Linked DNA regions of Lytechinus pictus. Each later gene encodes a partner of the first gene's protein in a complex. Links are inferred from orthologs where the notes say so. Each region holds a gene or a part of one and is shown in the gene's direction. Other genes may lie near its edges.

Region 1 (12,269 bases):
GCTTGTGTTTCTCTTCTGAATGACTAAAAAAATTGAATGCTCAAAGAACTATTTTTTTTTAGATAAAAATTATTGCCTCCCCTTAAAAAGAAAAAGAATTGTGGATTCCATATGCTATCCATATACAGGTTGTTCATAAAGTCATCCACAATAAGTATCATTATGTAAGATGTTTCCCGACATCATCATCACTAGTTATGAATTGCACTAAAAACCACTGGTTGTGGTGATCAAAAACGCATCATTCACAACTCATCACCCCTTTCGATAGATTGCACGAGGAGATCGGTGACATCACACCGACAATATCGCCATGTCTTAGGTTCCTCATCGGCAGTATTTTTTTAAATGATGTGTCACAATGTGCAATCTACGTGCATTGTGACAATTTTCTATCGCCACGTAAGTAATATACAGTATTAAGTGCGCTCTAAGCTCCAGCTAGTCGTTGCGTCTACCAGTGGTGATCGGTAGCGTCTTTCAGACATAAACGTCACTTGTTATCCATAGCATACATGTAAATGCTGTCCAAGTGGTGATAGATCTCGATCAATCCTTACCACTTCTCGTTAAAAGATCAATGAAAGTGGTTGCATTAAATGCCGATTTCAAGAGAAAGTCTGTAAAACCAAGGTTAATTGTCACTTTCTCATCCTTCATCTAGATCTGGATCAGTTACATGAACTGAAATTTGTGAAATCATGAAATCTAAGTTGAAAAACAATCACACTGACAATCGCTAACACAGATAAGCACACATGGGACAGTGTATTTTTGTTGCATGGAGAAAGACCTAAAACATATATGGAATACCATGCTTATTTGGGGAATTCCTCGGCAATTACACAAGTTTTTTCCTGGAATATTTTGGCTCATATTTTTGTATTTCTACGTACCGACACTGGGAGTCATTTTATTGGATTCTTGATGAACTTATTTTGAAATCGTTACCACAACTGGCATTTATATGGCATGGAAGTGTTCAGATGATTCATCTTTCACCACTGGTTATTGATACGTAGTGTTATTGATAGTGCTATCCATCTTCTTGATTGATGATAAAGTCTGAAGGGAGGGGGGGGGGCTTGTGATTCACCTACCTATAAGTAACTTCTTCTTTTTTCTTTTTTTTTGGCAAGATGATTAGTTGATGGTACTTTGGCCCCCCTCCCATGGGATTTGTGCGTAACCTTGTTCAAAACAAATGCGATAAATCGTAACGGGGGGATACATGCTGTCCATGGTCCATGCAGTATTTTGAATTATCCTCTGATATTACATACCTTTTAATAGATATCGTTTATACTTGCATTTCAGCTCCTTTCAGTAAGTGTCTGATCTAATAGCATTTGTACGTTGAAAGTTCTTATCACAGCACATACTGTTTTCGGTTCCAATACCTTTTTTTTTCTTGCGTTACGAAGATAACTGCGGCACTCAGGAACTTGTTTCGTTGTTTTTGTGTGTTTAAGTTACGAAGTGAACTCAGTTTTTCTAATCTCTATTTTCATTTCAAGAGCCTGTTAATTGAGTGTTTTGGTAAACAATGCGTTCTGAAAAAAACACACTTAAAAGTGGTTTCTAGGTTGATATACAGCTTCTACAAATATCTTCATTTTTAATTTGTGAATCATGTTTCATTTTCCATAAGCTCAAATAATAGACAAGTAATTTCCATTTATGATATTTTATATCTCATTGTATTCTATTTTTTTTAATTTCCAATCTAGCCTTTCATGTATACTTGTAATCTGCATTCTGTAGAAAATTCCTTAGTGGTTTCAGCAGGGATCATTCAGTAATCATATGTTTCTTTTCGTTACCATTCAATTGATCGAGATTAAAATATCTTCCACTATTTTATATGTTCTTAAATCCATCGATAACCTCTTGTACTAGGTTGGATGTAGTTTTTTGTCAGTTCTAGTTTGCTTTATAGGTATGTTTTGTGACATAATGCAAGAATTACATTGCCAGAAGGTTGACATTTCATGCAAACACGACCTTTGACATTTACACTCCCATCTTGCACGCAAAGTTAACACTTGTATTTACCAAAACACATATATTTTGTTGTTGTCGCAAACTTTTGAAATGGGAGATTTAAAAAACACCTACCAAACGTATACTAAACAATGGGACTTGTAAGATTGACTTTGATTTTAACGGGAACTTACCTACCAAAAAAAAATTTAACTGGACTCACTCACCTCGTCAATCTGTTAAATGATGTGGCCATAATTTAATAAAAAAAGTGTGATGATGTTTTTAAATTTGATCTTGGTACTTTTATTTATATCTTTGTCTGATGGATTATGAGTGATTAAATGTATTTCATAACTTTAAAAAGTAAGTGGCTGTAGTTTAACTATAATTATTATGTTAACTGTTTTAGAGGAAAGTGAGATTACAAAAGTTACAAAAATGATGTGTTTTACTGTTACGGCAGTTTCTTATACATGTACTCTCTATTGGAAGGGCGGCGTTTGCACCAATGGGTCTACAATTAATTGCACACGTTATAGTAGAGCTTTATCTAGTATTTTCATTATGTGTAACTGCATTGCAAGACTATAATATATCTGCAATGCTATGTCTGTCATTGAAAGTGAGCCCATTGTTTTTATAATTTGTCACAAGTTGAAAAGAATCTGGCAATTTTAACTAGAATGATATTTGTGATATTGACTAAAAGAGTATTTGTGTTTTACATTGTTGTAGTCTTGTTTCAGACTGTAACCTGTATAAACCATAATTGTGAATCCAATTGAGTTGTGGAGGAATGGCTACCACTTTCATGAAAAGAGTTACAGTCATACGTACTGTATTTAAAAAATCTAGCTTTTAATCTTGCAGTTGGCAACCATTTTGTGATTTTGTATCCAGTGTTGCATAGGATCTGAAGGTCGAGAACATTTTAAAATCTACACACTATATGTGAAACAAGAAAAACATTGATTAGATATGAATAAAACCACATTGGAATCAGAATGTAAACTTTTGTGTGATATGTGTCTTACCGTTATTCAAATATAAAGTTCAGGCTTAACTGTTAATTCAAAGCAAGCTTTTGACATGGGCCAAGCCCTCTATAATCTAGGTGTAGACTGTTGCTGTATAGTAATGCTGCAGTCACATTTCCCCTACGGCGGCTATACGGCAAGTCGAAAACAGCCGTTTATTGTCTCGCCTGCATAGCAGAGCAAGATTAAAGGTGCCGCTTTTCCGACTGCAGCGGCGGCGTCAACATTGAAATCTTAACCAATGTTAAGTTTTTGAAATGTCATACCTTTCAAAGTAAATGGACCTAGTTCAAGAAACTTAGAAATAAGTATTACTGAATATCCTCCCCGATTTTTAAGGTCGCATGACCAAGGTCAAAGGTCATTTAGGGTCAATGAACTTAGACCATGTTGGGGGAATCAATATCAAAATCTTAACCAAGGTTGTTTTTTAAATGTCATAACTTAGAAAGTATATGGACCTAGTTCATGAAACTTAGACATAAGGGTAATGGTGCATCACTGAAGATTTTGTCTGTGTTTCAGGTCACATGACCAAGGTCACTTGGGGTCAATGAACTTTGGCCATGTTGGGGTATTTGTGGAATCGTAAATTTTTTTATGGATTTAGTTCATGAAACTTGGACCTAAGAGCAATCAAGTATCCCTGAACATCCTGTGCAAGATTCAGGGCACATGACCGAGGTCAAAGGTCATTTAGGGTCAACAAAAATGGTCATGTTGAGGGTATGTGTGGAATTGTCATAACTTTTAGGATATAGATAATGAAACTTGGACATAAGAGCAACCATGTATCCCTTTATATCCTGAGCATGTTTCAGGTCACATGACCAAGATCAAAGGTCATAGAAGGTCTATGAAATTTGGCCGTGTTGCGAGTATGTGTTGAATTGGTATCATAACTTAGAAAGTTAATAGATCTAGTTCATGAAACATAGACATAAGGGTAATCAAGTACTGTATGAATGATCGTTTTGCACATGCATGTCATATGCCACATGATCATGGTCAAAGGTCATTTTGGGTCAATGGACATATTTTATTATATTAGTGTTTTCTTTTGTGAATAATTCATTCATAAGCTGTTTTCAAAGGCAGCACTGCTGCTATATCGAATTGTGCAATGCAGGCGAGACTGCCAAAAGTGTTCCACTTGTATTTTTTTTTATTAACAAACATTTTTTTTGTCCCTTTAAAGAAGAACTTAAAAATGGGGGAAGTCCGGGTGCGAAAGGACCTTGCCTTCGGCAGACGCAGAACCAGAGCCAAAAAGTGGAAAGCGAGAAGGAAAGAATTAGAGGGGAAGTGAAAATGAGAAGGGGAGAGAGATGATAAAAAAGCAGGGGGGTAAAGTCTGGGGTAGAAACGCCCTCGTGCCCGATAATTCCCCAAGCTGCTGGCTTATACACCTATCCCGGCAATGAAGAGATTAATAGCACAAAGGAGAGTAGAAATAATAAAGAAGGGGGAAAGGAATAGAGATACATAGTTATAGAAAGAATTTGCCGAAAGTGGGGGCGTCTTTTGTTCCTTAAAATTATTTTCATAAAACTGCGAATCCATAATAGCATAAAAGCCAGTGCCTCGTCTTGTACCAAATAAAAAGATTAGGAAGGGACATGGAAAGATATGGGCAGATCCAGGAGCCAAAGCAGCCGCGTCCATCTATACTGGAGGCGAAAAACAAAGAGAGATGGAAGAGGGGAAAATGGATAAAGTAAAAGGAGGAAGAAATAATGTAGAGAAAATAATAAGAGGGGAAAATTAGCAATTAAACATTTCATCAAGCTTATTCGGGTCACTCTTCAAAATAGTAAAATTTTTTTTAAATCACTCGCGGTCGCGACATTATCCGCCCGGATTGATAATTTAAAAAATACTATTTTTAAGGATATTGATGCTTAAAGGACAAGTCCACCCTAACAAAGGTTGATTTGAATAAAAATAGAAAAATCCAGCAATCATAACACTAAAAATTTCATCAAAATCGGATGTAAAATATGAAAGTTATATGACATTTAAAAGTTTCGCTTAATTTCACAAAACAGTTATTTATGCACATCCTGGTGGGTATGCAAATGAGGAGACTGATGATGTCATCCACTCACTATTTCTTTTGTATTTTATTAAATGATATATGAATATTCTTATTTTATCCTTATTGTCAAGTGAAACAACGATCAATTCCTCCCTGGACATGTGGGATTGGGTTTGTTTAATACTGTATGGTTTAGTCAAGTTGGTCCTTATTGTCAAATCTGTAAAAAAAAATGAAATATTGTATAATTCAAACAATAAAAAGCAAAAGAAATAGTGAGTTAGGGACATCATCGACTGTCTCATCTGCGTTTCACTGAGTTGTGCATATCAATGTTTTGTGAAAAATAAGTGAAAATTTAAAATGTCATAACTCCTATTTTACATCCGACTTTAATGAAATTTTCAGCGTTATGCTAGTTTGATTTTTTTCTATTTATTCAATAAACCGTTTTGCTCGGGTGGAATTGACCTTTAATAAAGTGTCAGCTTTTCAAGTTTCATGTCACATGATCATTGTCAGAGGTCATTTGAGGCCAACAAATTTAATATATATATACATATATATAATATGTATGTATATATATATATATATTGGTTTTTGTGAAAAAGAACAATCTTAGTTGTCAGCACCGGTGCTATATTGAATCGGGTAATGCAGGCAAGACTCTCAGAGGCATATTCCACTTGTTATATTATTCTCATCCAAAGTATAATACTTTGGCGAATCCAGGGGCCGTAAAGAATTTTAAGAGGAGATATAAAAGTCAATATAGAATAAAGGAAGGGGGACTTGGAAATAGGAAAAGAAATACATCACAGTAATTTTACAAACAGAAAATTCTACTGCGCTTCGCGCTCGTATTGCCTGTTTTATATGATGAATATCGATCATTGCCTATTAAGAGGATCAAAATAGCTCTTCCTGTTTTTAAGTCAATGTATGAAACTCGGTTTTTGCTCCGTGCTTCGAGGTTTATTTAGAATTTTAATTAACGAGATATATACGCATCATGTTTAGTGGCGGATCCGAGGGTGGGGCTGGGGTCACATGCCCCTATTTTTCAGGTAAAAAAAAAAAAACATTCATAAAAAATTATCTGGCTTGTGATATTTGAGATGCTTTCGCTTCATGAGTGCTTATGCATCTAATTTTTAGCTCGCACTTCGCGCTCTCAATAGAAATATTTGATGAACGAGATACGTACTTATTCATTAATTCATAATATGCAGCATTGAATCTCTTTTTCAAGTCACGCGCTTCGCGGTTGCAGTTATTGATTTATGAGATGCATACACATAGGCGGCGGAAGCGGGGGGGTGGACGGGGGTCATGTCCCCCCTAAATTTGAGGTGGGGTGGGGACGGACCCCCCCCCTAAAATTTATGTTGATACCTTTTTTTTTTCTGCGTCCCCCCCCCTAAATTCAGGTGGACCCCCCTAAAATTCTTGTGCCCCCCCTAAAATTTTGGTTGATAACCTTATTTTTTGTTTTTGCTTGTCAAATTTTTTACCTGAGTCCATCCCAAAATTTCAGGTGGACCCCCTTAAATCTTTTGGCTTCCGCCGCCAATGTGCATACATGTATGATTCTATGCAAAGAGTCCTGAGAAAAGCCATTTTTCAAAAACTTTAAAAAAGGGGGGAGTTCACTCTGACGATCTAAAAAAATAGCAGAAAATGCAAGATATTCGTTAAAGTCTGAGGAAAATGCATAAAAGATTTTAAAAGTAATTAGAATTTTACCTAAAGGATATCAATAGACAATTAAGTCAATTTAAATAAGTTTCTCTTCATCATTAATTTTGTGTTACTGATATCACGTAGACAATGAATCAACACAAATGTTCACATCCGCTCTTGAAAGAAATATTTTTTTAATCATATCATGGGCCATTAAAAATTTATGCATTTTATATAGGGCAGCTGCTCTTATATACGTGATAAATAAAAAACTTAAAATTCTTACAATCTTCTTAATCTTTGATAGATTTCCCCTCAAACTTTCACCCATTCTTCCCCGGGTAGGCCTATTTTTAGAGCAAACTTTTAGTCAGGGGTGAACTTCCCCTATAAGCCCCCGTTATCAATTCAAGCTTTAGTCCTTATCTAGTTTGTTAAACTAAAGCTAAATTATATTTAAACTTCAGTCTTATAAGACGCCCCCAGATTTTTTGCTGTTTGTACCATAAAGGTGGATACCAGGGGCGGATCCAGGATTTTCTACGAGGCTGGGTAGCACATTTTCCCGAGGAAAATTTGACAAGCATAAAAGAAGTTCCTCCCTTTTGTTAATTTCCATTAAAAATATATGCTGTGACTTTCAAGGACGGCATACAAATTATTTACATAAAAATGATTTTTTTTTTTTTTATTATTATTTTTCTAATAGCTTTTTTTAGCGGAGAGCCCCGCTAAATGCGGGGCTCGTGGCAAAATGCCGGGAGAACATCGCTATGTATGAAACATTGATCTTTAATGTTTAATGCATAAAACATGGGGGGCACTGGTACGGGTCGGACCCCCCCCCCCCCCCGGCCCCCCCCCCCCCCCATCCGCCACAATATTTCCGTAGTTTGGTTTGAGCACTGATCTCAGTCATGTCTAGTCTACGAGCTGCCGAGCTAGCTAGAGGGCGACATTTCGACATGTGTGATCATCGTTCATGCTCGCAAGAGCCGTCGATCAGAACAACGCTACAGATGGCGTCGAAACAGTTGATAAATCTACATTTAATCGCTGGACAACTTTGTGTTTGGCATGCTGATGGTAAGAACATGTGCTATTTAGTGAAAAAACGAAGGTAATGTGTGATTGTGAAAGAAATGACTCGTGCGTGATGCCTGGAGCTGGATTCGAAAAAGTGGTGGTCCCCAAATTCTACGGACCAGCGTGTTTATTGCCCCGGAGAGCTGAGGGGAAGGTAACGCTTCGCGGGCCGGAGCCCAGGACTCGTCCGTGTAATAATATTATTAGGCAGAGGATACTCTCCAAAAATGGGGTAGAATGGGGTCGTAATAGCACCCCAAATAAAAGGGGAAATATAAATTATGCACTTACCTCGATTATATGGATGAAGGTCTATCGTGACACAGAATCCTGACATCCGAGGCACAAAAAACTGGACCCTCAAAAAAAGGAAGTTCTGTCTCGTTCATTCTCCTTCTTTCAAAATTGAAAACAAAATCATGGCCGATCGATACTGAGAACGAACACGACATGGAGTCTAACTTTTCCTTTTTTTGAGTGTCCAGTTTGTGCCTCGATGTCAGGATTCTGTGTCACGATAGACCTTCATCTAATATAATCGAGGTAAGTGCATAATTTATTTTTTCCACTTTCATTGCGACCCCATTCTAACCCAGTTTGGAGAGTACCCATGTCTGCCTAGTTTAGTAGTATTACAAGGAGCAGGCCGGAGCTCCCTGGGTTAAAGGGACAGTAACCCAGAGAGCTTCGGCCCACTTCGCGTGCCGGAGCCTAGACCAAAAGCTTCGGTCTCTGTTATATTGGTTGTTCAGCTGAACATCCTGGGCTCCACTCACCAATTACAGAGACCGAAGTTCTAAGTCGACTAAAGGGACTCAATGGCCGTATTTTTATGTATTAAAGGAGAATGAAACCCTTGAAACCAGCTGAATCCATATCAAAGAGAAAAATCAAAGAAACATATTGTTGAAAGTTTGAGGAAGATTGAATGAATAATAAGAAAGTTATGAGCATTTGAATATTGAGATCACTAATGCCATGTAGATCCTCCCATTGGCAATGCGACCAAGATCTGTGATGTCACACACGTACAACTCCCTCATTACTTTAGTACTTATTTCACTTATATTCTCACTTTTATAGAGTCTATCACAAGGTGAGGTGTTCTCTTTATGAGAGGACAAGTACAGAGGTTTCACAACATTATATCATTGATGAATCGTTTGTCATATGATTAGAATGAGCAAAAAGAGATGTTTTGGGGTATATTTTCAGTGTCCAAAAGGGGAGAGTTGTTCATCTGTGACATCATAGATCTTGGTCGCATTGCCAATGGGAGGATCTCCATAGCATTTGTGATCTCGACATTCAAATGCTCATAACTCTTCTATTTCTAGTCCTATTTTACTCAAACTTTTGTTGATCTTATTCTTTGATTTTTCTGCTTTCACAAAAGCTAACTTGCTCCAAGAGTTTCATTCTCCTTTAACTGTTTAAGTTTGGATAAACCAGGGAAGTGGGAGTTGTGCGACAGCCGAAGTAAGTCACCGTTTTTTTTTTCCTTTTAAGTTTATTTTTTCCTGTTTTGGTGCATTTCAGGCCAAAGCGGTATAATATCCTTTATTTTGGTCCAGTTCGTTTTATATATTTTATGAAATGAAGACACAAATCAATGAGTGCCATCGGGGGGAATTTGCATTGTTAACCCCCTTAATGGCGGCTGCACGAGAAATTTAAAAATGTTTAAAAAACTCCTCGAAACAGATGGCTGCCAGCTGTCTAGCAGCATCCCAGAAGGTAGCCATAGGCTGCCACAGTTAACAAATACTACCATGTCATGGGTACCTTCGAGGTTTGGGTTACCAAAAACACTCAATATTAAAGGGGAAAAAAAGAAATGCACCCACCTCAATGCTATGGATGAAGGTCTAACAGACTGCATGAATCCTGACATCGAGGCAAGAAAGCCGCGTTCGTTCACTCACTTTCAAAATTGCAAACAAAACTGGCCGATCGATATACTGAGGGCGCATACGCGAATTTGCCAAATTATTAAATTGTGGGTGCTTTTTATGCTATTATTACTAATTTATCACATTATACCGTAATAGTGATTTCTTTGATTTTTTTACACAGAAGTTGAAATACTTCGTCGTGAACACCATATTGTGGGTTCATTGATAGGTGCTTTGCCTGGAGCTCCAAGGCAGAATATACAGCTTGGTCTACCTCTACAACTCATGCCAGAAGAAGCAGCTGTGCTCCTTCAACATGGTATGTATAACACATATATGAAGAGTAAATGTTTTTTTTAATTTTTAAATATGTATGTTGGTTATGTGCTGAGCTGCGTTAGTGATATTAATGTTGGACCATGTCCACTTTGTAGAGTGCCCATCGAAAGGCACTTTTCAAGAATTTTGAAGGATATTAAGAAGAATCAGAAATAAAATTGTTGATGTGTTTTTTTAAAAGAAGTTTATGATGTCTTCAGGGAGGCTGGAAGACCCTTAGAACAATTTTTTATACAGGGGGTATCGATGTAAATTTGACAAGCACTACACAATGAAGATCATTTTGGTCCTGAAAAATTTGACAAAAAATGAAGAAAAAAAAGGGGGGTCATTATAAATTGTAGATAATTTTAGTTACATATCTCAGGGTGCGACATAAGCGCTTGCCCGATTGCCCAGGGCAAGTAAAAGTTAGAGTCGGGCAAGTGTTTTGAAGTAAAGACAAAAACTACTTGCCCGAATCGGGCAAGCAAAATTCTCACTGTGAAATGAAATTTTACAAAGTTTCCCCATACTTCACATGCAAAAATAAAGACGAGAGAGAGAAAAAAACAAAGTTAACAACTTCCCTCAATTCAAATTGCAAGCCAGTTTGCGACATTTTTGTGATCTACACACAGAGTCAGCATACATGTGGCTGGTGCGCCCAGCCTCCAGCCTGTGTGGCAGGCATGCATGGATCTCCATGCTGCTGTGCACACCTGTACTATCCCCGATCAAACTCCGAACCAAAGTGAACAAGCTCACATGAAAAATACTTTTTCCAACAAAATAATCACAAAATCGGCGGGAAATTTTTTATACTGGATTCTCAGATCACTGATTTGGTGATGTGATCGGAGGAGCAAGTTATTGAGTTTTCATTACTAGTTTCAGCTGTTGTTTTGAGTGTTGTGATCGGTGTAGTGGGAAGAAAGATGCGTGCAAGTCCACGATGCCGCAATGATTCATTTGATTTTTAAGTTTGTCAATGTTTCTCTGTAAATTTTTATTCATTTCTAAAACGTTTATTTTTCCAACAATTTTCAAAATATATTTAAAAGAAATATCAGCAAGATTTTTATTACATGATTGCATTTTTTGTTTTGTTTCAAATTTGATCCTTCTTCCTCTTTCTTTCTTTCTTTTTCTTCCTTCCGTAAGTAATCCTTGCTCCTTCCTTCATTCCTTCCTTTTTTTTTTCTTTCTTTCTTTCTTTCTTTCTTTCTTTCTTTCTTTCTTTCTTTCTTTCTTTCTTTCTTTCTTTCTTTCTTTCTTTCTTTCTTTCTTTCTTTCTTTCTTTCTTTCTTTCTTTCTTTCTTTCTTTCTTTCCTTCTCTCTTTCTTTCTTTTCTATCCTATCTTTCCCGCTTGCCTTTTTTGTTCCATCTATCTTTCTTTTCAATCTTTCCTAGCTTTCTTTCCTGATCTTTTTTCTCTCTCTGTTAATTTTTTTTTCTTTCCTTCATTTTCTTACATGTACTTTCCTTCTTTTTTAAAATTTCTTCATTTTTTCTTTCCTCTATTTTTTCTTTGCTTCCTTCTTCCATTATTTTTCTTTTTTTTTATTCTCTCACTTCATTCTTTTCATCCTTTCTTTCAATCTTTATTTTCTTCTTTCCTTCTCTTTTTCCTTATTCTTTCTCTCCTTTTTTGCTTCTTTCCTGTCTTCCCCTTTCTTTCTTTCTTTCTTTCTTTCTTTCTTTCTTTCTTTCTTTCTTTCTTTCTTTCTTTCTTTCTTTCTTTCTTTCTTTCTTTCTTTCTTTCTTTCTTTCTTTCTTTCTTTCTTTCTTTCCATCCTTCCTTCCTTCCTTCTTTCTTTTCTTTCTTTCAAAATATGAAGGAAATCTTTTTTCCTTCATTCTTACTTTCTTTCCCCCTTTTTTATTTCTTTCCATTCTTTCTTTCACCCATTAATTCATTTTCCCTTCCTTTCCTGTTCTTTTCTTTCCCTTTTTCTTTATTCAAAGAATGAAGGAAACCTTTTTTTCTTTTCTTTATTCTTTTTTCTCCATTCATCTCTTGTTTTTCATTTTTTTTCTCTCCTTCAATCTTTCCTTCACCCATTCTTTCACCTTCCCTTTATCTTTCTTTCTTTCTTTCTTCCTTGAAAAAAAATTACAAAGTACAATAGTTCACGTCTAAAGAGAGGAAAGGGGCAATGGTATATAAAACCATTCTATCTTTTGCAGCGGTAAAACCTTATTTTGAAAGATTTTTTTTCGGG
Region 2 (12,847 bases), on another chromosome or scaffold:
GACAATATAAAATAAATGTTGGTAGGACTCAACTTCTTTTTTACAAAAGGAACACAAATTATCTGTCTCAAAACCAAATTTAAAAAGTTCCCTTTTCGTGTACACAGCCCCATGCAATTGTTTGTCTTGAAATTCTCTGTGTTTATTGCATAGCATTGCACATTTCAGTCTCAGAAATACTTCTTTCAGCTCCCCCATTCCCAGATCATATTCGGATTGCCCATCTGTAACATGAAATACATAATCAATTTGAAAATGTTCAACGAAGTGGTCATATATTCGTCTAGATTTTACATCACATAGTTTCTGAACATGCCCACATATCATCAGTTGAATTTCAAAGTTGTCTGTATCCATTTCCATAAAATCACCTTGTATCCACTCTTCTGTTATTACTGAAAATATCTTTTGAATTCTGAGCAAGTTTTCAGTTGAAAATTTCAGATTATACCAGTATGAAACTGGTCTTAATTGACCTCCAACTATTATATCCGATACCTTAACTATACCTTTCTGAAATAATTCAATATAAAGAAAGGTCTTATTATTGAGGCATATACGCTTGTTATTAAAAATAATGGGATTACTTTTCCCTCCAAAATGTCTACACTTATCCAATTCGTGCCATGCCTTCAACAGATCTATGTAAAATAATGGTATACCTTTCAAATTCATTTTACTCGTATCATAATCACACAGAAATATGATGCGACCACCACTTTAAGAGCTAAAAAAATATTCGAAGGTCGCTTTCCAACCCTAACTTTTCCCTCCGTCTAGCAAACGTTTAATCCACATTATTCGTTTGGTCTTAACAAACGTTACATTACCAATCAACCAATCAATCAATCAATCAATCAATCAATCAATCAATCAATCAATCAATCAATTAATCAATAAATAAATAATATCAATCAATCAATCAACCAATCAATCAATCAATAATATCAATCAATTGACCAATCAATCAATCAATCAATATAACAATCAAGCAATCAATCAAAATAATACATGGTTTATTAAAATACATATATTGCAGTAAAAATAATTGCACATGTTTTTACACATTCTTAATTTCAATATACACGGAACAAAATACATTTCCAATGAAAAAATATACAGAGAGCGATTGCAGAGAAAATATAAAAATCATTGATAGCAGCAACATAAAAAAATGCAATGATAGATCATTAATGATGATTCATGCCCCCAAAACGCAACCGCCTTATGTTTGTTGATACGAAAACTGTATATAGGATATGAATGATATGAAAACATAAGAAAAAAAATCTAAATAGACTTTCATTTTGTTGAGAAATTCAGATAATGTTATAAAATATCTCTTTGAAGCGCCTTTTTAAAAGAAGGTTTATATCACACGATCACTATCTGAGATGTCATCATGGCTTGCCAAATCTGTTTACTTCCTTATCTGAATAAATACCAGCAAGCGAGCACAGCGAGCGATGAAAATAAGCAACATTGAAGAGGAGAGGAGTGTAACTTCGTCAACAAAATAATATAGCATAATTATTCTTAGCATAATGAGGAGGTGTCGTGCATGGTCTAGTGGTTATGACACTCGCCTTTCAATCTGAGGGACGTGGGTTCGATTCCTTCAGCAAGTTTACCCACGTGCTGCACTCAACCCAGGTGAGGAGAATACCTGGTCATGGATAGGAATCTACTAACTCCCATGTTACAGCCAATGTAATTATGCTGCATTACTGTCGAGCGTTTAGAGACTTCTGATATAGAAAGTAGCACTATAATAAGCAAGTATGATTGTTATGATTATTATTGTTATCATTATATCATATTATCATTTCGCTCTTTATCTGTTGTAAATTCGGTCCGTTGACTATAGGATTTGGTTTCTTTCTTTTTTAAACCTTGCTGCATCTTTACACTTTCCATCGTGCATTCACCTGTCTTTCAAAACCATACACCAACAAGGACTCTCTTCGTTTCCTTCTTCTTGCTTAAACTCTCTGTCATTTTTTAAAGTCATTTGGTTGACTGAGTTATCTTCTGTGATTTAGTTTTATTTTCCTTTTTTCTTTCCCTTTTTACAATTTCTGTATTATGTACTCTAATCATTTAATTCCCATGTTCACTCTTTGTCTCACTTTTTTCTTTGTCCCCCTCTTTCCATGCCGTACATAATGTAGATGATATAATTTTTTTAAATTATTATTCCAGACGTTCTGTAAACGTGTGAAGATAAATTTGGTCATGTACACTTTAAGAAATAAGCTTAGGCCTACCTTTTATTTCAACAGGACTACTGGCTGCTGAGGCTGTTGCTCCGGAAGGTTTGCTTTTATTTCCCTTAGTGCGAACGGGTTGTATCTCAAGGGCTTTCTTGGTGACTGCTGGGTTGAAAACTTCCTCGCTGAACCCACAAGATCGCTTCACGACCGGGGGCCTTGATGAGATCGTGAAATATTGTGGAAATGAGAGGACGATCCTTTCAAGATCCTTTTCTGCTGCTAAATGCTGGCCGATGTTGGGGATATTCTTGACTTTGAAATGCGATTTCACAAGAGGGAGAAGCTTCTGAAGACTTGTGTTGTTGAGCATCTGCGTGACTTGCAGCAATGCCGAGATGATCCTGCCGATAGCATCCCGAGGTATGTTAAGGGAATAGCTGAGATCTGTGAAATGCTTCTCTGGGGCGTCGAACCGGCTTGGCTGCGGTGCTGGCTCGACGTCTTTCCTGAAAAACTTTACTTCCCATTGGGAATTCCTTCTGACAGCATTCCGAATGCGATCAGGGATCTTGGAGAGCGCCTCCTCTGACATGGGAACAACCCGAACCTTCAGTCGGGCATTGGGTTCCAGGATGTCACGGAGGTCTCCCACGTACGACCCTGTGATGCGGCGAGCAGAGGACGTGTCCAGGCGGGAAGTTCCAGGCTTTCCCGTTACTGAAATGTTCGCATAATTTTTGTCAAGTCGCGTAATGCGACCAGGAAATTCTTCGGGATCTGCCATGATGGTCCTTTCTCCTCAAAGTTTGACAGCTACAATGAAAACTGTGCCCTAGCCTGTCATTGTACTTATCAACGGGCAATGCATGATGGGCGGGAGAGGATCATAATAACTCCGGGGAATCCCCGTGGTTGCTCAATAGTGACGCAATGGGATAGTCTAGTTTTTCAGACGTGATTCTCTAATTTAATTTCTTTCACTGTTGCCTCTGTGATTGTCCGATTTTTGTTTAAAATTAAGTCTGTATCATGGAAAACCGTCTTTCCAAATGACATTGTCATTTACTTTTGCTATAACATAAACAAATATTTATGTTTTATATATGGTATACAATTTGTTTTTGTTTGATGGAAGTGAAATAAATGAATTTGAATTTGAATTTGAACCATAATAAAGTTAGTAGCAATATCAAATTGCAATTAACAAGTTTGGACACCGAATCAGTTATGAAATACCATTCATGGAAGATATCATTAAGTAGGCCCTTTCTGAAAGAAATTAGCCTCAACATAATACATTTTGACTGCTTGGAAAAGAAATTACGAGGAGAAGAAGACGGCGCGCGGATCGAGTCATTATTGTTCTTTCGCAATCACCAACATCTCTTCGATCGTGTTTCCAAAAAGTCCTGTCTCAACATTGTTAAAAAACACGTGCGAAAAGGACAAGCGGTTGCAACATCGAGAAGCAATAGGACCTATGTATTTCAATCTATTTCGCCACGCCCCCTTTATTATTATGTTCATTCCTTTCAAAGAGTTCCTAGAACATCCTATTAATGCATTCTGTCTACATGGTCTAATGATGGTATGCGACATCATATTTAAACGGAGAGAACAATTTCTGAAGAAAACTTTAATCTCCGTTTTGCTAACAGTAAGTAATTTATAACGTTTAAGTTTGGACTGTACATGTAAAGGCCAGTCATTTATAGACGTCATAATCTTCTTTGGTTTTTTTTCTTCTTATTATTGAAGGGTATATAATGTAGGTTTAATTAATTAATTGTTATTTTCATGCATGGCCCTGCAGGTTGAGGGATGCTGCGTATATGCTATTTACCAAAGGTAGCACCCCCTGAAAATTAAGTTGACAAGAAAAAAAAAGGTTATTGTTATTACTCCCAAAGAAGGAAATAATTACTCCCTTTTTTGGAAGGGGGCGGGGGCTTTTCTTTTTTTTTCTGACGACAATTTCCTGAAAAAAAAAACACCAGCACCCCCTATTTGAAATCAGGGCCCTGTCTTCCTGGCAGTATATATGGCTTCACACGTGAGTGGATCGAGGAGTTCTTTTACTTACTTACTTACTTACTTGGATTTACTTGGATGTAGAGACATAAAGCTGGAAGCTTATTTGCCCCTCGTCACGTAGGGTTGTAGAGGGGAGCATACACAGAGAAGGCTCAGTCCGTTGTTATTACGATATATGGAAGTTTTATACTATCTACTCCAAAAGAGGCATTTCAGAGCGGATGGGGGGGGGGGGGGGGGTCTGATACGCCCTGTACATTGAAGATAACGGATCGCTTTATAATCAATCAATAAATAAATATCATATCGTTTCAACGAAAAAACATTACACCAGCCATACGGCTCACATCTAGGCCTATGCAATCCCAAACGACGCGACTTCATCTCCCTCAATTTACGCATTATGCTTATAGATTTACAAATGCCACATGTTGCATTGAAATAGAGCACCTCTCTTTACGTCTCTCTCCTATTCCCCAACTCCCCCACCCTGTCTCGATATAGGCCTATTGGAATTTTAAAAAGGGTCGGAATCGGATGAGTGGGAAACAGAAGGCGAGTAAGGTCCTATATACGTCAGAACGTTTTCTCTTGAAATGATTTTCTCCCCCGATCTCTCCTCTCTCCCCTCTCTATGTTTTAGTCTTGTTTCCTATATCATATACTGGTAATTAGGCCCATTATTGTATGTATTATGTATGTGCGTATAAGTCTGAAAATATAATGGGATGTTTTGAAAAAAACACAAATATTATGTATCTAAGAAAAATATCAAATCAGTGATAATAAGAATACTTAATTTAAATTAAAAGACAAAATACAATATATCAGTTTTTTGCTGATAAATTGATTGTTCGAGGACCATGCACCATAATATTTGTTCAGTGATGCATACTGCTAGAAATGAATTCAACATGATCAAGGTATCATTAATAATGACTTAAACTTTCAGAGATATAGTTTTTTGTCGCTGTTCGACAAATTTGCAGTTTGATATACACTTGCATCTCTTATCCTTCTCTCGTCTCTCTCTCCCTCTATCGATCGACTCTCCTTATCTCTGTCTTTCTCCCACTCTTTCTCTTCTGCTGCCATCTCCTCATTTTTTTCTAAACCCCCTTCCTCACCCACATCTGCCCCATCCCGCTCCGCACATAAACATCCGTTTATAAATATCCGTACCGCCTTTCACAACTTTGTAATGACAACGAATATGATCGCACGACCGTAAAATATCAGATTTCATAATTCAATACAAAACCAATATGCATTCAAACTGTGTGTAATGTCTTATATTGCTTTTTATTTTTCAAATTTTAGTGCTTATTGCCACAAGAGGGAGGCATAAAAGAATTGTTCTATTTTTTGTTACATGCAGTAGAGAATTATTCTGGAACTCTATTCAAATATTGGATAACAAAGAGTGATAAAGTAGTTATTTCAAACAGATTTTTGTACATTTCTTAGAAAATATCTTGGGTAATAGGGTAAAACGAGAACAGGTAATATAAAATGAGGAAAATCAACCAATTTTGGCTCCTACATCACCGACAATACAATGTTTAAACATCCACATATTTAGTTTTATTGCACAATAAGTTAGCAGTGCATGCCGTGAGCTTTGAAACTTTAGGTCTACGAGTTGTTCAGATACGCTTTATAGATTTTGTTTATGAATATGGTTCGATCTTCTAAATACCAATTATTCAATCTACAAAAGCACCTTCAATGTTGTCTAAGCACTTTCAAACCTGGCACTGTATTTACACATAGTACTGTATGTAGACGTTCATTTTTGTCAATATAAAAAAAAAAACTGACTTCACATTAACTGTTAATGAGAACCCCTTTATCCCAAGTTGATAACAATTGCCGATATTACATACGTAATTTGATAATAAATACGGAAAATAATGATATAATGATTTTTGTTCAGTTACTTCTTGATAAGAAGACATGGGTAAATTTTGATATCATTTATAATTACAACTATAATGGCTTTTTGAAGAGTTTCATTTTCTAGTAAGAAAAATACATCCTTTTCAAAATCATTTCCCACAATCATATTATGAACTTTCCCACCAATAAAGATTGGCTAAAATATCTAAAGATCATTATTATGTGTGTAGGCCTGTATTATAGGTAGAGTATTATGTTATGCAATAGTCATAGTTCTAGTCCGTCCAATGGGCAGGTATTACCACTGTTATTCAGCCACATCTCAATACAGTTCGAATGGAAGAAGTGTTCACACGGCAAGAATTTAACTGTTTGGTTCTGTTCATACGGTTCCATGCAGACCGCACACTGCGAATCTTCCCAGGGAATACCCTTGCCTGGGCCGTCGGTCGCGACATCGACCACGGTCACGGTTCGGAGGGAGGCCAGCTTGGCGCCTTCGATGGTCTTCGGCGCGATCTTGTCGTCGAGTTGGAGGAGCATGTCGTAGTCCTCGGGTGTCATCTCTCGATGCTGTAGGTCAAGGAGGAAGCACAAGAGATTCGCTTCATCGGGGTCATCGTGGTCCACTTGAGCGGTCACGAGCTCGAACTCGTGTGGGATGTAAACTCGCTGCTCCTTCTGCTCTGGGGTCCAGCGAGGTTTCCGAAAGGCAACTTGAATTCCCCTTCGTGGCCTTTTTGCGCGGGTGTAATTTGGCTTCGTTTTTGCCGTCGATGCATTTTCAGCCGTCTGTGACTCCTTTGGCACCCATTCACTGTATCTTGGTATACCAAGGCGATCGAGCTTCCGAGAAGTCCTGTCATTTCGTCGTTCTTTGATTATTGTGATCTCCTCATCCTGTGCACTAAGTCGAGACATCACACCATTATTAATCACAACCTTCTTCCCTTGCACAATTACCTTGTCTTGTAATTTGCATTTTGTAGCATAATTCTTAATCTTGGGATTAGTCTTCACTCGGTGCATTAAACATGTTTTCCTTTTTAATCTCACTGGATGGAACATGACACGTTCATACTCGTCAAAGTTAAATCCTGATTCATCATACCTGTTGTAACAGCCCTCACTTGGCTGCTCTTTCCCTTCCATAAAGGCAATTGCGTCATCCAAAAAGGAACGAATTGGGGCTGCCGATTGAACGCCCATGTTTTCACACAACCATGGAGCTGGTTGAAATTTCTTCCTTTTTTTCTCCTTCTTGTCACTGTCGATGTCAGTATCATTGTCTGAATTCGTTAGATTTGGTTTAGTCTGAGATTTATTTCTCCTACTGGATTTGCGAGCCAACACCACCGCTTTTTTGGCAGTAAGTTTTTCAGCACATTTCGAAGGTGGTTTCCCAGTGATGGCTTTGGGGAAACTTTCCACCTGTATTTCTCCTGCTTCAGCAACCATTCTCAATATTTTTTTCTCACTAGTAGAAGAAAAATCCTTTTCGAGAAGGCTTTATGCCTGTTTGGCTTGCAGCCGGTTGGAATACTGAATGCTGCTGTGAATATTGGTTTAACTTTATATATTCAGGAATTTGTCTTCCTTGTATTGCGACATCGGAGAGCAAGTGCAACTCTCCATGCATTTCTAAATTTAGAATGACACATGTCTGTGTTTACATCAACATGTGCATATTATTATATGACATCATCAATTCAGGCTCTGATTGGTCAAAGAGTTTGGCTAATTAACATAACAAGTGAAATCTCGCGGGAATCGAGAGCTATTGATATTGTGTGCGAGATATTTCGAGACCTACCACGGTCACTCCGAAAACCAAGAGGCAAGAACGAATAATGGATTCTGGTCAAAATTCCGGAACTACAGCTGTGACAGTTGACCGCTTTTCTTGGTTTTCAGATCATCCTAAGGTAACAAATCAGACAATACGTTTTATGAATCCGTACGTGCAACTATTCACTGGGGTTGTTGTATATTTCTCTGGTCGTGATAAAATTCACAACGTCAACAGCCCCACACCTTTCTTTCTATGTTAGTACGTACCGGTTAACCCAGGCCCATGGAGCTCTGGCACGCGAAGCGCACTCATTCAAGGTTGAACAAGGTTATGATATAACCTTGTTCTCAGTTATATCTCGATGTGTGGCAAAATAAGGATGGCAATGTTTGGCTTATTTTCTCTTTTTCTTTGGGACAAATGCTTTATTTTTTTACACTGACAGTTTCCATTACACCTATTCGTCATACAACTTGGGTCTTGGCCCTTAGTTAAAGGCCTTATTTCTTAAGTAGGCCTAAATTTGATTCTTTAAATTATTTTTTTCTTAAAGGAGAATGAAACCCAAAATGTAATACCACATAATATCATTGATAAGTAAATGATAATAAAAATGAATCCACTTATACCCAAATCCGATTTCCCAGAGTGGAGTACCACCTCTTCAAAGTTGGGCTTCTTCACGTTCAAAGTCTCTTGACTAAATGGAGATCGCCATTGTTGCGAGGTTCATTCAAAATCGTGACGTCAGCGACGTACAACTGCTCTCGGTACTAACTTCCATGTGCAGCTAGTCACAGGCTGAAACCAACCCCGAGTTTGCATAATATAGATACTTTTTTACAAGATATGAATATAATATACACATAAAACACTTTAAATAATTATCAAAAAGCTATTAAAATTATTTCATGGTTTAAAACACAAATTGATGAGTTTTGATGAAAATGTTTACACATGTATTTACGATATCCAAATTGGCAAATTTGACAAAGCTAAATTTGTTCGTAGACAGTGCAGCCACCCACTCATCACACGTATTGCGAGGTTAGTATATAGCTAGCACCGTGAACCGCATTTTTCAGTGGATTTCTATCTAGTGGATCGCGCGTGCTGGGATCTTCCTTCTGGTGTCCACAACACACGACTTCCATGGCTTGATTTTTCTGTGCGCGGCAGCATGTAATGAACACTTGAGTGCCGACCGCCGGCCCCTGAACCGAGTGATCGTGTTGACTTTTATGTTGGAAGTTTGGTTGTTTATCCCGTTTGAATATCGTTAAATTGTTAATTGTGCTATATTTCATTATATCTAACGTTGTTTATTATTTGTTACCATCGATTTAAGTATTATCGGACGTTTGTATTGAAATAGAACTTAGTTAGAAGGCCTGAGAGCCTACGACTTCGAGCCCCAATACTCGGCCGAAGAAATCAGTAAAATGCTCGCTACGAACAACATCATTCCTCTTGAATTTGGAAGAATTGTAGTTTTTTTCCACCTTTAGTGCAGCCAATCATTTTTAAAGAGATTTCTGGCCTCTTCTGCGGATCAGGAATTTGGCAAAAGCTGCATTTTGTGCCCCTTACTGACCTATTTTCGGCAGCCAGATCCACTCTGGCCCATGTATTTTATGCTAGCAATCAAAGGCGAGTGCCGAGGTCGGACACCGAGTTGTACGTCGCTGACGTCACAACCCCCCCACAGAGATATAGGGAGGATGAGCAAAATGGCGATCTCCACGGGTCTTTCAAAATCAAAATATTGATAAATTTGACTTGGCATATCATGGGAAATAGGAAACCGTTCTGCCTCATTTTAATTTTATTTTAATCAGTGAAATGTAATCAGTTTATGACCAGATAATAAATCTATCCTTTCATTTTCCTTTAATTAAAAATAGAGATAAAAAAATGCAAAATTTCTTGCCATATTATTTTCCACCAATAGAGGGCGTATACAAAAATATGCCCAAAATTCAAGTTTTTGAGTGCTCTAGTGAATACAAAAATTATTTCCAAGTTACAAATGAAAAATGAATTGCAAGTTTGCAACTGTGTGGAAATTAGTAATTTTGGTCACAAAAGTGATATTTTAATCATTTTTTAAAGTGTGTGCTCTGTAGTGTACAGCATTGGCATGCCATAGTCCAACCTGTAGATTCCCCACAGGCAGGGTGGTTGCAGTGAACAAGTGGCGAAGCGGGCTGGAGCCCAGGAGCCGACCGTGCAAAACGAGGGAGACACTGGGGTCTCAATAGTAATCTTAATAAAATGTGGAAACAGAAATTATGCACTTACCACAATTATATGGATGAAGGTCTATCGTGACACACAAATCCTGACATCGAGGCACAGACTGGAAGTATTAACCTAAAAAAACGAAAAGTTCTGTCGCGATACCTCTCCTTTCAAAATTCAAAACAAAATGGCCGATCGAGACCGAGGCTACATGTATGATGGGGGGACCTAAAGCTACGCACTTTGTTTTCAAACAATAAAAACTATCCCAATTTTAATATTTCAACAAATATCTTTCACTAATTTGTGGCAAACATTCTAAAGATCATTAACCAAGAAGAAAATATCGCAAAACTCACTAATACGAAAATCCCGCCATGTTTTCCGAACACCTCTTGATTTCGCCACCCGATGTAGAAGGGGTCCTAAAGCTACGCACTCGATTTATCATGCAAAAAAATAGTATTTCCTGTGCCTCAATTTCTAAAATATATTCATATTATTATAGGAAAAAATGAAATTTAAGCGAATATAACTCCAAAATTCCAAACAGTTATTGGTTTCTCTGCATTAAATTAGAGATTTACTGCAGCCTCTGTAGAAAAAATTAAATAGGAATCGTTCGTCACTCTGCAGTCACAGTTCCACACACAGAGTGCGCATTTGCCATAAAAACTGAGTGGTGCGTAGCTTTAGGACCCGCGCAGCTTTAGGACCCCCTGCCATATATTTCGTTTTTTTGAGGTTCCAGTCTGTGCCTCGATGTCAGGATTTGTGTGTTACTCATGATAGACCTTCATCCATATAATCGTGGTACGTGCATAATTTCTGTTTCCACACTATTATTAAGATTAGTATTGAGACCCCAATCTACCCCAGTCCAGTGTCTCCCTCGTTTTGCGCGGTCGACTCCTGGGCTCAGGCCCACAAAGCGGGCCGGAGCTCCCTGGGTTATGTACCGGTAAGCCCTTGGAAGCAATGTCAAAAACTAGGAAAAAAACAACCACTGAAGTTGACTGAACCAGTTTATCTAGAATCTAGATCGACACGAATGTTGTCGCGACTCGCGAAGTTTGCTTCCTCTGTCATTTCTGTGTGAAAAGCCTAACTTAGCATGAAAAAACTAAATTGAAATACAGTGCGTATAAAAAAAACGGAACAGATTTGAAGTCTATAGTATAAAATGTTTGTTTCAAATTATGATGTCTATATTTTGGTGTTGATAGGTTCTCTGAACTTCTGAAGTCTTATCTTTCAAATGCCATTAAAAAAATCTGTTTCGTTCATGCTTGAGCGAACACGGAATGTTTTTGTCTGGGGATGAAAATGAGGCTTGCGCCAAAATGGCATAAAATGATAAACATGATGATTGGACTTCTTGCTAATCAGCAGACTTCCTCTTCACCTTTTCATTATCTTTGCCATAATTTTCAAATTATGTGGTCAAAATTCATTTTCAAATCTATTTATTTGCTTGAATTGTTCTGTTTCTTTTTAATATGTTCTCTATTAGCTTTGAATATTCCTTCTTCAAGCAAAAACAATATTTTTTTTTCAACCGGAGTATGGAAGAGCATGTGTTTTTTTTTCAAATCCTTTCATTTTGTGCTACAAAGGTTATGGTGCCTTTAAACAGTGCCATACAGATGGGCAGTGAAATATGATATTATTTTCTGAATATTATGTCAAAATCTGTCACAAAATTGGATATTCTCATAAAAATTGAAGTTTTTGCTTGCTCGCTTCGCTCGCTCACAACTTTTTAATACACATTACCTAATCTGCCATATCTAGCTCCTTCAAAATTGACTCAATACACCATTGCCATTGAAAGACATGAATCCTTACCAGGTTATCCTGTCAAGCACATAATTAAACTTGGTCAAGGACAATATCATGATATTTATCGGCCGATGCAAGTATTTTACTTTTTTCCAGGCTACGTTGGCGGTTAGGCCTAATTTCACTCAAAAAGTTCATAATGAAATAGAGAAAAAAAAGAATCACTATACAGTTCATTCACATTATTATGTGCATTTGTGTATCAGAACTTTCTACAAATGCGCCACCCCGAAAGTGTGCTATTGTTGCCTATCCGGTCAGCACTGGTAAAGAGTTCCTTTTGCGACAGTCACCCAAACTGAACAAATATTTGGTACTAGTGGTGGCCAAATGGAGGGTTGAAATCAAACTTTAAAGTAGGGCCTAAGTTTAATAGCTTTTGAAATGTTATAACTTTGAAAGTAAATGGTGAAACTGGGACACAACCTGTAATCAGGATCACTTTGTTATCATTTGCGCAAGTTCCAGGTCAGAGGTCAAAGTTCATTTAGGGTAATAAACTTCGTCTTTTATCATCATATGATTTTTTTTTTGTGAAATACAATGTAAATATTCATCTTGCTTCTTAGTTTTCAAAGTTGGCCATTCTGCTGTACATTGAATTTCATAGTGCAGGCAAGACTGCCAACGGTGTTCCACTTGTTTTGTTTCTTTACACTTTTTTAAAATTTTGTTCTTGGAGGAGAAATAATGATGCATTTTACTCTGTAGATGTCTTGATAAATCTCGATCATATACCAGCAATTCTATAATTGATCAGTTTCAAAAATTTTGTTTTTAAAAAGTAAAGTTGGAGAAAGAACACTAAAAAAACTGCCAAGTTCAA

What was found.
Region 2: the proteins of tRNA-splicing endonuclease subunit Sen34-like (region 1) and tRNA-splicing endonuclease subunit Sen15-like are in contact, whole or in part, in a crystal structure (PDB 6Z9U), measured with the Homo sapiens proteins. The link is inferred for Lytechinus pictus from reciprocal best matches to the Homo sapiens genes TSEN34 and TSEN15. Residues at the interface, in NP_001070914.1 of Homo sapiens: Pro251, Leu252, Arg253, Phe254, His255, Ala256, His257, Tyr258, Pro265, Glu266, Asp267, Thr268, Ile269, Pro270, Leu271, Gln272, Leu274, Ser283, Val284, Arg285, Lys286, Thr287, Leu289, Leu290, Cys291, Ser292, Gln294, Val300, Tyr301, Thr302; in NP_443197.1 of Homo sapiens: Leu70, Lys74, Trp76, Thr108, Pro109, Ile110, Thr111, Ala112, Ser113, Leu114, Ser115, His116, Asn117, Ile119, Arg120, Leu123, Leu141, Ile143, Val151, Tyr152, Tyr153, Lys154, Leu155, Thr156, Asp157, Gly158, Phe159, Met160, Leu161, Pro162.

The regions. Positions count from the first base shown.
Region 1 is NC_087245.1:38,264,868-38,277,136, reverse strand, and holds the start of tRNA-splicing endonuclease subunit Sen34-like, read left to right. Parts: upstream 1-7,673; 5' UTR 7,674-7,709; coding exon 7,710-7,830; intron 7,831-9,906; coding exon 9,907-10,044; intron 10,045-12,269. UniProt on the Homo sapiens protein: Constitutes one of the two catalytic subunit of the tRNA-splicing endonuclease complex, a complex responsible for identification and cleavage of the splice sites in pre-tRNA. It cleaves pre-tRNA at the 5'- and 3'-splice sites to release the intron.
Region 2 is NC_087259.1:12,401,528-12,414,374, reverse strand, and holds the start of tRNA-splicing endonuclease subunit Sen15-like, read left to right. Parts: upstream 1-7,604; 5' UTR 7,605-7,996; coding exon 7,997-8,071; intron 8,072-12,847. Other genes in the region: uncharacterized protein LOC129278362, read right to left, coding at 2,268-2,997; uncharacterized protein LOC129277298, read right to left, coding at 6,414-7,604. UniProt on the Homo sapiens protein: Non-catalytic subunit of the tRNA-splicing endonuclease complex, a complex responsible for identification and cleavage of the splice sites in pre-tRNA. It cleaves pre-tRNA at the 5' and 3' splice sites to release the intron.